2 linked regions of the Lytechinus pictus genome follow. The main gene of each other region encodes a partner of the protein of the gene in region 2 in a complex. Links are inferred from orthologs where the notes say so. Each region holds a gene or a part of one and is shown on either strand. Other genes may lie near its edges.

Evidence for each region. The genes of interacting proteins can lie anywhere in the genome.
Region 1: the proteins of THO complex subunit 5 homolog A-like (region 2) and THO complex subunit 7 homolog are in contact, whole or in part, in a cryo-EM structure (PDB 7APK), measured with the Homo sapiens proteins. The link is inferred for Lytechinus pictus from reciprocal best matches to the Homo sapiens genes THOC5 and THOC7. Residues at the interface, in NP_001002877.1 of Homo sapiens: Pro48, Asp51, Tyr52, Tyr55, Cys59, Leu62, Gln63, Met66, Ala67, Gln70, Phe95, Lys99, Leu101, Asn102, Ala105, His106, Arg108, Leu109, Gly112, Arg113, Gln115, Thr116, Ala119, Lys120, Val123, Tyr126, His127, Leu130, Leu133, Glu136; in NP_079351.2 of Homo sapiens: Ala21, Asp23, Ile27, Leu30, Val31, Phe34, Tyr50, Met53, Leu54, Leu57, Cys60, Glu61, Met64, Gly65, Thr67, Leu68, Val70, Tyr71, Asn74, Met78, Tyr81, Ile84, Tyr85, Ile88, Glu89, Ser91, Ile92, Ala95, His96, Lys98.

The regions. Positions count from the first base shown.
Region 1 is NC_087247.1:45,236,409-45,243,489, forward strand, and holds the start of THO complex subunit 7 homolog, read right to left. Parts: upstream 3,084-7,081; 5' UTR 1,638-3,083; intron 1-1,637. UniProt on the Homo sapiens protein: Component of the THO subcomplex of the TREX complex which is thought to couple mRNA transcription, processing and nuclear export, and which specifically associates with spliced mRNA and not with unspliced pre-mRNA.
Region 2 is NC_087246.1:18,993,205-19,000,141, forward strand, and holds the start of THO complex subunit 5 homolog A-like, read right to left. Parts: upstream 3,047-6,937; 5' UTR 2,921-3,046; coding exon 2,804-2,920; intron 429-2,803; coding exon 279-428; intron 1-278. UniProt on the Homo sapiens protein: Component of the THO subcomplex of the TREX complex which is thought to couple mRNA transcription, processing and nuclear export, and which specifically associates with spliced mRNA and not with unspliced pre-mRNA.

The DNA of each region.
Region 1 (7,081 bases), on a different chromosome or scaffold from region 2:
ATAATGTAAAGATAAGGATGTGGGTTTATTAAGTTTTAGAGATTAAGTTTTATAATTGGCTTAACGTGAAGATTTTCAATCGGAGCAATTGTTGCCGGAGCAAATGTCATGGAACCATCAGATTATCCCCCGCTTACCGGGACTTCCCCTTGGAATCTGTGTGTGTTGGATTGTTCCAGTCATTTAAAATTTTGATTTAAACTTCCTGTAGCTTTTTGTGATCAAGTCAATCTCTTTAACATTCCTGTGAAGCACATGTGTGATAAATAGGGACGTTTGTTGAACCCTAGGACTACGGTAGGCTATTTGAGATGTATTGAGGACTGGGGGGGGGGGTATCATCTTGGCTGCCATTCATGTGATTGTGCTGAAATTCTTTACCACATTAACTACAAGCCAGTACAAACAAAATTTCCAAAATTAATTATTTATTATTTATTATGGACAAAATATGCATATATATTAATGAAAAACATTATTTGTATATTTAACATCCAATTTCACCTCAAATTTTCTTTTGTTCCCAGATGTCATCTGTGTAATCTTATCTAAAGGATTCTACAAAAAATTGCAACTGTCAAATTTTTCCTTATGTATCTCTTTGTTTTTAGAATTTCTAAAGTATTTCCCTTTTTTTTTTTTTTTTTTCAGTGGAAATTATTAAAAACCATTTAACAACTAAATTAAACCCTAAATTAATCAAGCAGATCAATCAGAATAAAAAAAATCACCCTTTTATGAATTTCATCTCCCATAGACTTTGTACATGAAGTATAAAAATGAGCCATTTTCGGCATAATCATTGTCTGATAGCCCCCCCCCCCCTCCCTGTCCTTTTAGGGTTAATCTCATCTCATTTTTATTGGTCTTTCTTTTGCCATTTTGTAACTTTGGATTCTGAAACCAATCTCTTAATCATTGACATGTGCTTAGAGTATTGAAGCTAGCCTGTGTAAAAATATTGTTCATTTTGACAATGGAGCTATAATTTGTGCAGTGCCCTTGAAAGTTTGATCAGTTTCTTTTGGAACCCAGTTTATATATAAATTCATAATAAGGCAATAGTCTTTGATTTAATCACGATTAGGAATTGTTTTCATTCATACATGAACAAATAGTGGCAACATTACGATATTTTGCATTTATTTTGTCAACCTTCTAAGATCATGATTTGATCATTCAAATTTTCGATAGATGAAGTATCCTTTTTCATTTGATACACATTTCTTATCATTTAAACTGAGTTTGTTCATTCTGACATGAATTGAAAAGGAAATACTATGAATCCTTTATCAATTGAAGGCTTTATGTCCTCAATAAAAAAAAAATAAAAAAACCTGAATGAACAGGCCAGCATCATTTGAGCATTACAGGGTATGCTTCAGTGATCACAGAAAGGTACAGTAATGACATTTATTCACTTGATTGACCATACCCATTCATGCAAAGATGGAAATGATTCCTAATGTTAATTAAATAAGAGGCTATAAATTTCTCGTTGACATACCATCTAGTTGGTTCTTTCATTCCATACAGAACTAAACCAAAATTTTGTTAGAATAGATTACTTAATATATTATGGGGTTCAAATGATTTTGCAAGGAACAGTATGCCACAATCATCAACAGAAAACTAACCATTCTTCATTGCTCTGATCCGTGTGACACCATTTCACAAAGGTTTTGAGTAGATTACTGATTCTTCTATCATCACCTCCACTCTCTCCTTCAATAAGCAGCCTTTTTCGTATCACTTCCTCTGTAAGTATGAAAAAAAAAAGGATATTCAATTATCATTCACCTGAATACTAGTAAAATTGAATTTTTATACATAACGAATAATAATACTTAGGCCTCATCCCCAGCAAAAGATGAGATTTATCAAATTTAATTTAAACTTTGATTTCAACCCTAATTTTGTCAGAACCAGAACTTTTTTTGGGGGGGCTTGTTAAATTGTTTTCTGAACAAAAATTGTCCCCCTCCCCCTTTGGAAAATCCTAGGTAAAGTGAACAAATATTGAACAGTGCCAAATATCAGACAAAGATGACTTCAAAACATTCTAAACAGCTAAAATTAGAGGCACACCGCATATATTGGAGACTTTCTCCAATATGGGAGACAATCTGTCCTATTGGGGATAAAAGAAACAACACCAACAAGGCAGTTATTCCCTTCCAAAAGTTTGTCTTGCTGACATTAAAATCCCATTTAATTTGTGTGTAAAGAATCTATTGCAGATAAAAATAAAACTGTTTGTAAAATAAAATTGATGTAAATTTTATAGTAGATGGTGAAGAGGAGTAAATTTCACGAGGAATTTGCACATCACAGGTTTGTTTGCCAGCAAGGCAATCCCTAGACAGCTGGCAGCCGGCTGTTTCGAGGATTTTAAAAACATTCATTATTTTTTAAATTTCTACACAGATGGCTCGCGATCGTGCAGCTACCATTTGAAGGTTAACAATGTAAAATCCCTCCAACGGGGCTCATCAATTTCTGTCTTAATTTCATAAAAATATATAAATAGAACTTGACCAAAATAAAGATTATTATTCCATTTTGGCCTGAAATGCACCAAAACAGGAAAAAATAAACTTAAAACGAAAAAAAAAACAATGACTAATACTTCGGCTGTCACGCAACTTCCACTTCCCTTGGTTATTCGAACTGAATACATAAAAATATGGCCATTGAGTCCCTGTGCAGATCGAGTTAGAACTTCGGTCTCTGTAATTGGTGAGTGGAGCCAACGGAGTTCAGCGGAACAACCAATATAATACAGACAGAAGCTTTTGGTCTAGGTAATCCCTAGAGCTGCCTCATATAATGTAAACAAAAAAAAATGGTCTCCCAAAGTGGAGACATTCTCTGAAATTGGATACCAAAATCATCTACAAAATCGATGCAAAGCGTTACACGAAGTCGGCAAAGTGAGAAAAGTGAAAAAACTACCCCTTCTTATCAAGAAGCTCTTATTGATATAATGGGAAGAATTATTCAGGAAGGATTTTGCAAAATTTTTTCCCTCCAACCGCGAGGGTGGAAGCAGGGTAGAATCACAACTCCAACCCATCTGAGCCTCGACAGATGATGATGATGATCCAACGCATTTATATTGCGCCATATTTCTTTTAAAAGCATTCAAACAGGTAGGTGCAGGCTCATCCAATTAAGCTAATTATTACACATCTGCTGAAATAAGTGAGTTTTGAGAGACAATTTGAAGAGCTCAATGTTGTCAATTTCACGGAGTGAAGAAAGGAGTTCCAGAGGCCTGGAGCAATAAATGAAATCCCATATCCCTTTACGACGTTCTGTTAAGATGCTACCAGTGTACAGTCTGGCTGAGATGCTTGAAATTGCACAATAAACTATTAAAATATGGTGATTATTTACCAACTAAAATGTAAGATAATTATTATTTGTTTAATAATAATTTCTCCACATTGTTCTACAAAATGGCTCCTCATAATGTAGCTCATCCTAGCTAGAGGTCTATGTCATAACGAAGCAAGTCAAAGGTCAAGCCTATTGGCTAATTTCAAGTTCGGTGTTGGTGTTGATGGCAATACAATACCATTCTCAGCTCAGGTGAGTGGTGACCAAAATTTTTCGAAAGAGAGTGATTGGAAGCTGATAAAAAGGGCAACATATCTTGGCAAAAATATTACATCTTTATTTGTAGGTATTTGTTTATTTTTGGTGGAGGTCTGATGCATTTTCAGAAAATATTGAGTATGATATGATTGAATTTATGAAAAGTTTTTGGTAATACGATCCAAAAATACCATACACTGTCACTGGCTTAATCTACCTCAAGTGATGTTCATGTAGGCTCCAGACTCCACTCCACTTCAATACAGCTACACTACACAGGTAGGTGTAGCGGTGGTGAAGTGGAGCCTACATTACAGTATGGCAGTGTATCCTACTGCCGGACACCTTTATTTCAGTGCTTTAAAAATGACAATTAGATTAGAGGAAATACAATCATGAAAATTTCGCACTTGCTATTCCAAATAGTATGAAAATTATGAATATGATAAAATTATTTTTATATTTACCAATCATTTTCTTTGCATCGCACTTGCCTCATACCCCTCCACGAAAAACAATTATTTTCGCATGTGACAAATTACATCATGATTGCGGACGCGAGCCGGATGGGTAAAGATATTCTTGATTATAATGATGTAAGGAAGAATTAGTGTGAATTTTTTCTTCATATATCATATCATGGGTATATTCTAAGTTTTTAGTTTGCTTTTTTTACATCGAATCTGAGCAGATATTGGTAATAAATTTGGGTTTGCTGACTAATTTTATTTTTTTTCTTTTTTAACTGCATGTTCCATGGCTACTATGCTTGTTCGTATCGTGACGCTAATCAAGATCTATCGATGCGCTGTCGATCGTTGACGGCTCTTATCACGTTATCACGGTAAACCTCGCGCAAGGGTATACCTTGAGTCGAGAACTAGCTAGCTAGCCGTCGATGATCACCCACAATACACCACACCTCAACATTCGATCGAAGGGGCGCGCAGACGAGATTTAAATTCGTCAAATCAGGCCCATATTTCCGTCAGAAAATATATCAATTGTTCATGCAAAACTATGTTATATGATATTTTAAGCATTTTCTGTCATTTTCTGTTTCTGTTTCTGTTTGTGGTAACTCTCGTAGGAACTCGGCAGGACAGCATTTTGCTGGTAAACGCCAAGCTGGCATATAACCAATTACCTATGAAACATTTTACGTCTAGGTTAATCAGTCATAGTGGCTGACGTTATAGACGACAGATATCACTCTCGGGCCTTTTTATCAAAGTGGAGACAATGGCAGAGTTGGGATTCGAACTCACAACCTTGCGATTATGACTCCAATGCTCTAACCACTGGACCACACAACCCGTACTTTATTTTAGAGATAAATAAGGTAAAAGTTGGATTTTTTTGCCTTGTTTTTGCAATCTTGTTCTATGTATTGCTCTGTGAAATAGAACTGTGCAATAGTTACAGTACAAAATTGTTTTCGTACGCAGTAATATGCGCGTCCATAATCATGATAGTGTCCTGTAATACAATACGCGACTATACACGAACATCAAGTTGAGGTCACTCACACTAGATCTCGTGGTTCATGTAGTGCAAGGTAAGTCACCTCGCACAAAGAGCCACAGTGGATTTCTAACTAGTGGGTCGCGTGTGCTGCGACGCCACTTCTGGCGTCCACAACACACGACTTCTATGGCTTGATTTTTCTGTGCGCGGCGGCACGTAATAAACCCCATGATCAAGCCTACCCCTGCGGAGCTGCATTGAGGCACTTGCTCACTGCAACCATCCTGCCTGTGGGGAATCTACAGGTAGGACTATGATATGCCAATGCAGAACACAACACGCACTTAAAAAAATCATGAAAATAACACTTTTGTGACCAAAAATACTAATTTCCATACAGTTGTAATCTATTTTTTTATTAGTAACTTGGGAATAATTTTTGTATTCACTAGAGCGCTCAAAAACTTGAATTTTGGGATTATTTTTGGTGGAAAGTTTTTTTGTTGGAAAGTAATATGGCAAGAAATTTTTCATTTTTCAATCTCTATTTTTAATTTAGAAAAAAGAATCAAATTTACTTAAGAGTCAAGTTATATGATTTTTTTCATTTATCCTCTTAATCGAGGCATTTATTCACATTTATTCACAATAACATGTACATATATATATATACAAAAAAAAAATCAATTCAATTCAATAATGCAATACTATTTTGAATATCACATTTTTTCAAAATTCAGATTTTTTTTCTTTGTTGATATAAACTTTCTAAATAAATAATCATAGTAAGCTTGAATTCAATCCATAAAGAATTTGCATATTTTTTTCCTTTGAATATGCTTTTTATATAATTTTGATAAATAACAAATTGAACAATAACACAAAATTATAGATTACACAAAACATAGCTGGAATTTTGCAGATCATAACCTATAATTAATGTTTTTCATCTATAGAAATAATAATCTTGAAAATATAAAATACCAATCTTTCTATAATTTTCCAAAATAATCTAACATATTTTCAATACAGTATAAAATGAAAAGTGGTATCAACTTCTCCAGAAACAAGTGGAATGCCTCTGGCCGTCTCACCTGCATCACGCGATTCAATATAGCAGCAGTGCTGATTTTGAAAACTACTATAACTCGCACAAGATGTTCAGTGATACTTGGTTACTTCTATTTCCACGTTTTATGAACTAGACCAATACACTTATAGAGATATGATGGCAATTCAACAAATACCCCCAACGTGGCCAAAGTTCTTTGACCTTACATGACCTTTGACCTTGATCATGTGACCTGAAACTCGCACAGGATGTTCAGTGATACTTGATTACTATTATGTCCAAGTTTTATGAACTAGACCGACACACTTTCAAATTTATGGCTGTAATTCAACAAATACCCCAATTTGGCCAAAGTTCATTGACCCTAAATGACCTTTGACCTTGATCATGTGACCTGAAACTTGCACAGGATGTTCAGTAATACTTGATTACTATTATGTCCAAGTTTCATGAATCAGATCCATAAACTTTCAAAGTTATGATGGTAATTCAACAGATACCCCCAATTCGGCCAAAGTTCATTGACCCTAAATGACCTTTGACCTTGGTCATGTGACGTGAAACTCATGCAGGATGTTCAGTGATACTTGATTAACCTTATGTATAAGTTTCATGAACTAGGTCTATATATTTTCTAAGTTATGATGACATTTCAAAAACTTAACCTTAGGTTAAAGGAGAATGAAACTCTTGGAGCAAGTTAGCTTTTGTGAAAGCAGAAAAATCAAAGAATGAGATCAACAAAAGTTTGAGTAAAATAGGACTAGCAATAACAGAGTTGTGAGCATTTCAATGTCGAGATCACTAATGCTATGGAGATCCTCCCATTGGCAATGCGACCAAGATCTGTGATGTCACACACGTACAACTCTCCCATTTGAACACTGAAAATATACCCCAAAACATCTCTTTTTGCTCATTCTAATCATATGACAAACGATT
Region 2 (6,937 bases):
GGACCCTGAACACAAAGGTTAGCAATCATTGTAGATCACTGTTATACGATTGATTGGATTGACTACAATGTAGAATTAATCATAGAAATCAAGTGTATGATTAGTTGCTAACCTTGTGTTACAGGACCATGGTGGCTGATTACGGAGTGAAGCACATTAAACATAACATGCCAGACAGACAGATCTATAGACAGACAGACACACACAGTATTGGGCAAATTATACTTTAAGGATTGTCTTCATTACATTACATGTACATCATCTTCATTAATTACTACCTTCATAGTTCCGGATGGCTCCTGAGATTTGTGGGCATGGATATCAGCCATCAAACTCCTCAGCTTCATTGACGTCTCATTGTGAAGCTGAAGATCTTTCTCCATGTCTCGGGCACCTACTTCCTTCTCTTCATCGTATGGAGAGTGCTCCTAAGGAAAGCAGTAAAGGGAGAAGAGACATGATTGGGATCATCTTCGCCTTCTGGGGCCTGTAACACAAAGCTTAGCAATGATCGTAGAACAATTTTCTACGATTGATTGCATTGACTACAATGTACAATCAATCGTACGATTAATTGCTAACCTTTGTGTTACGGGACCCTGGTATTTGGTATTAACACAGTATGGACTCTCTCCCATTTGAAAAATCATCCCTAGTATCAGTGATCTGTGTTCGATTTCAGTCTATCAGCACCTTTCTTAAACATGTGAAATATCCAGATAATAATAACTTCTTGAAATCTAAATAGCCATGAATGATCAACTCTCCCACGTATTTAAAATCATCATATTTACAAGAAATTGGACAGAAATATATTAAAGATGAAGAGACATTTAAAAAGGGGTTCAAAACACTTGTTTCTGCTAATGCTCCTTTGGTGTATTATAGTACTATTGAGGTTTGCCGGGGCTGACATTTGCAATATACTGGGTGAACTTCCTACTCTTTGATGAAAAGTGTACTGATTTTAATATGCATAAGTTGTGACTCTCCTCTACACAGGACCAACATTTTCCTAGTACTGCAACCCTCTAGTATCCGTTGTTTTTTGTTAGGTGTGTTTCAGCCTGAGCGGGACTTGAGCCCATCACGTTGAGATCTATGATTTTATCCGAAACAGGCACTCTAAACCACTGAGCTACACCGCCTCCTCTTGGTGTATATGTATCCATGTGATGGTACTGCAATTTAACTGCGTCATGACAGAAAAAAATTATGACAGCGTTATTCATAGGTGTCATAATTTAGTCAGGATGTTTTCCCTGATCTCGGGCCTTCCTGGCAAAGACAGCTTCATGAAACAATTAGACTTTCAAGTCTAAGGGGGTACCGGTCTGTAAATGAGGATCATCCGTTTACAGAATACAGATACAGGAATTGTCTATTTTTAATACAGATTTCTCCATACAAGAAAACTAGCAAAGTTCATTCACCTGTCGAGTGCCAACATAACCCCCGCTGAAATACAAATTACATCATTAACAATGATTTATCTGCGCCATATTTCCAAAGCACACAACGGATTATTTCAGATTCAGGAAGCGGGGTCCCCGAAAATGCACTAAAATGAAGAAATCTGTGATTTTTCTGGGTTTGCAAACTTTATTTTCTCGCTAATTCATGATTGAATCTTCAAAATTATCAATAAAAAAACAAACAAATCAGAAATTGTTTTCTTTATCGCAGATACGGCGATATCAGACTTTGCAATTGTTTTAGGAAGTTGCGAGATAGATCCCAGAGCACATGAGAGCAAATCACTCGCCCATTTTTTTTTTTTTTTTTTCGCTTAATAGTAAATATCAAGAAAATTGATGCGGCAATCAAAAAAGGGAAGCGGGCGCGGACGAGAAACATCACTTTTTTATATTTTTTAGCCAATTTTTGAAATAAGTAAAAAATTTCATGCGGCGGCCAAAATAGATGCACACGAGGACGATCAACTTTCTTTTTTTACTTGGCCTGATATAGAATAGATCTAGGCCTAGAAGAATGAAATTAGGTCAATTTTCAGCATTTCTCTGCCATAGACTGTGTAGTTAAAAAATGGACACACACAAATCCAAATTTTTAGCTTCCGAGAGCTGTTATAAATTTATTATTAATGCCAAAAACTTGTCCATAAAGAGTCCAATACTCAATAGGATTTTTTATGCTCTATCTGATGGTATGATTTTTATAAAAATTTGGAAACCAGATCACAATGAAAACTTGCGACAAAGTGAAAAAAATTGTGCAAACCAGAAATTTCATTTTCCCATAGAAAACGCATGGGGAAATGGCAATCTCAACACACACAAAAATAAGGGTTTGCAATTTATCTCTAGGCCTAAATCCTTATTTAAAATGATCATATAAACTTGTCCTTACTGTCAAAAGAAGCCCCTGAATTTTCTCTTTCACATTTTTCTAGTAGCCTGAACTTCCCCGAAAAAATGTGCCACATTTTCCCCTAAATCAGCCCGTTTTATGCCGACACTTTTCAGTGTGGCTTCAGACACCCTACTCACAGATTCATTTAATATTCTATGCCTTTGATTGCCAATGGAAAGCTTAAACAGTTTGCGGATTTATTACAGTAAATGAAATTATCTTTATTTGCCAAAACGCTTCCAGACAAATCAATTTACTCAGAGGATTATCACAGAAACGTGTTATCACCTGTTCAATTGCGTGCAAGATAAATCGCACGCAAAGCCATCTCCTCGGTCGAAGTTATCGAGCTTTATTGAGTCGAGACGAATTTCGCCGCCGACGGAGCTCATCTGCATCAGTGAATTGTGTTACAATACAGAATACGTACCCTTTTGACTTTGATAAGTACTGGCTTTTTAGAGTCTCTCTTCGGTGATGAACTACTACTTTGATCATCATCAGTTTTTGATACAATTCTTCTTTTTTTCACAGTGGGCACCGACATTTTTCAAGTCTTGCTTTCCTTTTCATGAGGAATGAAAAGAAACAAACGTAGAGGGCCATATATCTCATGCACCCACTGATCTCTCCACTATCTCATCCCTATTCTCCTGACTCTCATGAACACATTGCTGAGCACCCACATGATTAAGTCAAACTACTGCACTAAAAATTAATACTCATGTTCACCCATATGCATTCAAGTTCAATTTAATTACTAGTATTTATGAAATTTGCTTTACAACCAAAAACTGGTCACGATTGATAATTAATTTATCACAACACCTTTAACTTTGCAAGTTCAAAGGATTTGCTTCGATCAAATCCAAACCTCAATTGCTGCTTGGAATTAGATGTTCAAAGGTCAGTAATACTATCTAAGACAAGGAAACTTAGAAGACATGCAGACTATAAGACAGTATATGTTGACCCAGATCGTATCCCTGCAGAGAGAGACTCGGCTCATCAAAATTTTCGTAAGGCGTTGAAACACAGAAAGGATATGGGGGAAGACTGTGTTATCAGAAAAGGGAAAATCACCAAACGTTCCCATGCATATGGTAATTTAAGAGAGGTCACACCAACAACAAATTATACCCCCTTTGCCTGCTGCCCGGGGGGGGGGGGGCACTCGATCAGTATATGATGCATAGTGGGTATGTGCCGCGGAGGGGACCCCCATTTTTACACTCAAATTTCCGTTCCAAGGCATAGCATTTTTGTCTTATTGAGAAAAAGAACAAAGAAAGCCGCTCCAAGGCATAGCATTTTCTTCTTATCGAGAAAAAAGAAGAAAGGAATCCGCTCCAAGGCTTCACATACTTTCCATTACGCCGTTCCGTTCGCCGCAATTTGGTGAAAAGCGGCCGCAGAGCGCTGTCCGACCATCGCCTCTGCGCTATAGCGCACCCGGCGCCCGTGCCGCCGGGCTAGCTGCAAGTACGTTCCATAGGTATGCATCATAGACTAATAAATACGTATAGACGGAAAGGTAGCACCCGCGGAAAAGCCTAATTTAAATAACATTTGCATATAACGTACAGATACTCCATAGAAGCTCCATGGTGATAAGCGTATTTTTTACCACTTTCGGCCACACCTCCTGGGAGACATTTGAACCGAATCCTAAGCCCCCATTTGCATATTGCTAATGAATCATTTATTTTTTGTTTGCGTACTCGCAAGATACTGTGATTTGATTGGACATTACCTCATGAATAATGTATTTTTCTATTGAAATTCGTACGTCATAATTTGACCCCTATCTAAAAGGTGACGTCACCCGCACACCCAGGACCAAAATCCAATTGAAACCAGTTGGATTTCCAACTGGTTTCAATTGGTTTCAATTGGTTTCAACTGGTTTCAATTGGTTTTAACTGGAATTTAACAATTTCCAGTTGAAACCAATTGAAACCAGTTGGGCAACTGGAAATCCTAACTGGAACCAGTTGGGTAACTGGAAATGACTTCCAATTGGGAATGATTTCTAACTGGAACCAGTTGAGTAACTGGAAATCCCAACTGGAACCAGTTGGGCAACTGGAAATCCTAACTGGAACCAGTTGGGTAACTGGAAATGACTTCCAATTGGAAATGATTTCTTACTGGAACCAGTTGAGTAACTGGAAATCCCAACTGGAACCAGTTGGGCAACTGGAAATCCTAACTGGAACCAGTTGGGTAACTGGAAATGACTTCCAATTGGAAATGATTTCTAACTGGAACCAGTTGGGCAACTGGAAATCCTAACTGGAACCAGTTGGGTAACTGGAAATGACTTCCAACTGGAAATGATTTCTAATTGGAACCAGTTGAGTAACTGGAAATCCCAACTGGAACCAGTTGGGTAACTGGAAATGACTTCCAATTGGAAATGATTTCTTACTGGAACCAGTTGAGTAACTGGAAATCCCAACTGGAACCAGTTGGGCAACTGGAAATCCTAACTGGAACCAGTTGGGTAACTGGAAATGACTTCCAACTGGAAATGATTTCTAACTGGAACCAGTTGGGTAACTGGAAATCCTAACTTGAACCATTCAGTTGTGTAACTGGAAATCCTAACTGGTACCAATTGGGTAACTGAGATGACTTCTAACTGGAAAGATGGGTAACTGGAAATGAATTCTAATTGGAACCAGTTGGGTAACTGGAAATTATTTCCAATTGGTTTCCAATTGGAAATTTTCCAGTTACCCAACTGGATCCAATTGAAACCAGTTAATTTGCATATTATTTGCCAGTGTGCACAGATTAATGTTTTATGAGATTAATCATCATTAACAATGTATCTATTTAATTCTTTACAATTTCAAGTACCACACTTTTTAAAGATTAGTATTTAGAATACTTAGCAGTGAAAACCATGTTCATAAATGTTATAGATTATAATTAAAACAGATTAAAGGATAATTAGTACACCACTAACTGTTACCAAATTACATCAAATAAAAGTACATATATTTGAAGATCTTCCATATAAATATATATACATGAAAGTCTGTATTTTATCAATGCCCTTTACATTGGTATTAATAGACATATAACACTGCTTCTGTGTTGGCATGAGAAATAGTTACTGCAAATGCTAATTAATTTGTAACTAATTAAGTTCGTTCCAACTGGAAGTTCCAATTGGATCCAGTTGGAAACCAATTGGTTTCAACTGGTTCCAGTTGAAACCAGTTGCCTCCAATTGGTTTCAACTGGAACCAATTGAAACCAGTTGCCTCCAATTGGATTCAATTGGTTTTAATAGGGAAATTGGAACAACTGGAACCAATTGACAACAATTGCCAACTGGTTCCAGTTGCCCAATTGGTTTTAACTGGAACCAATTGGCAACTGGTTTTCAATTGGTTTTTAACTGGAACCAATTGGCAACTGGTTTTCAATTGGAACCAGTTGTTCCAATTTCCCTATTGAAACCAGTTGGCCAACTGGTTTCAATTGGTTTTGCCCTAATTGGTTTTAACTGGATTTTGGTCCTGGGCAGAAGAAGGTTATGTCCTTGAAAGATTTTCGGTGAGTACTGTCAGATTAACGCTGAATTTTAATTCATTTACAAAAATAAATCAAAAGATCTGATGTTATATGGGATCTTTAGAAGTCTGGGTATAACATGAATTAATTTTTGTTTATAAAAAGTGAACAATTAGGAAGCAAACGACTTGCGAAAACTCAAAACTATTTCCATCGTCGTGAGCTAAATATGGCGGCTATATTACATGTAAATCTCCATCTGCTACGATTTCAGACCTCGTATGGTCAGTTCCCCCATGTCTGCGCGGTCTCCCAAGTCTGCGCACCCGCGTATCTGCGCGATTCTAGTAAAAGAAGATACGCAACGAGCACGAACTTTACACATGCATTACATAGACAGGTATTCATAAAAAAATCCGACTCAAAACGGTGGAAAAATAATGAATTCAGGGCATTTCATGTGACGGCCTCAAAATGCAGCCTTTGTCATCAAAATCCCCGAATCGTGTGCAAAGTGAATGAGTGCGCAGACATGGGGTACCATTTTTTTTTTCAATCTGAAAATGACTGCCCAAAGGTTTTTCAAGAAAATTTATATTTTCTTTCATTTTTTAATGAGAAATTTGGTACACTTACTCTTAATAATATAAGGAACACTATTAACCAAAAGATTTTGTGAAATAAGAAGAAATTCATGTTAAATCTTAACTCAAATTGTTAGGTGCGCAGACTTGGGGCCCACCATCATATATTCAATTCACGCCAGACTTTTGGGCGAGAGTTTATCTAAAATTTCGATTCCTACCGAAGATCTCGGCAGGCATGACAAGAACTAGAATCTAGATAACGTTTAGGCTATAGACATATTGAATTTAGAAAGACATTCACTCCTTCAACCCGTTCCCTTTGAATTCACATATCAAGAAAATAGGACCATAGCCTCTAACTTTGTTAGTAGATCTAGAGTCTAGTCCTCGATCATTTTGTAAAAAGATGTTTTTCCCAAACTTCTTTCTACTAAAGTATGGTAGTGGAT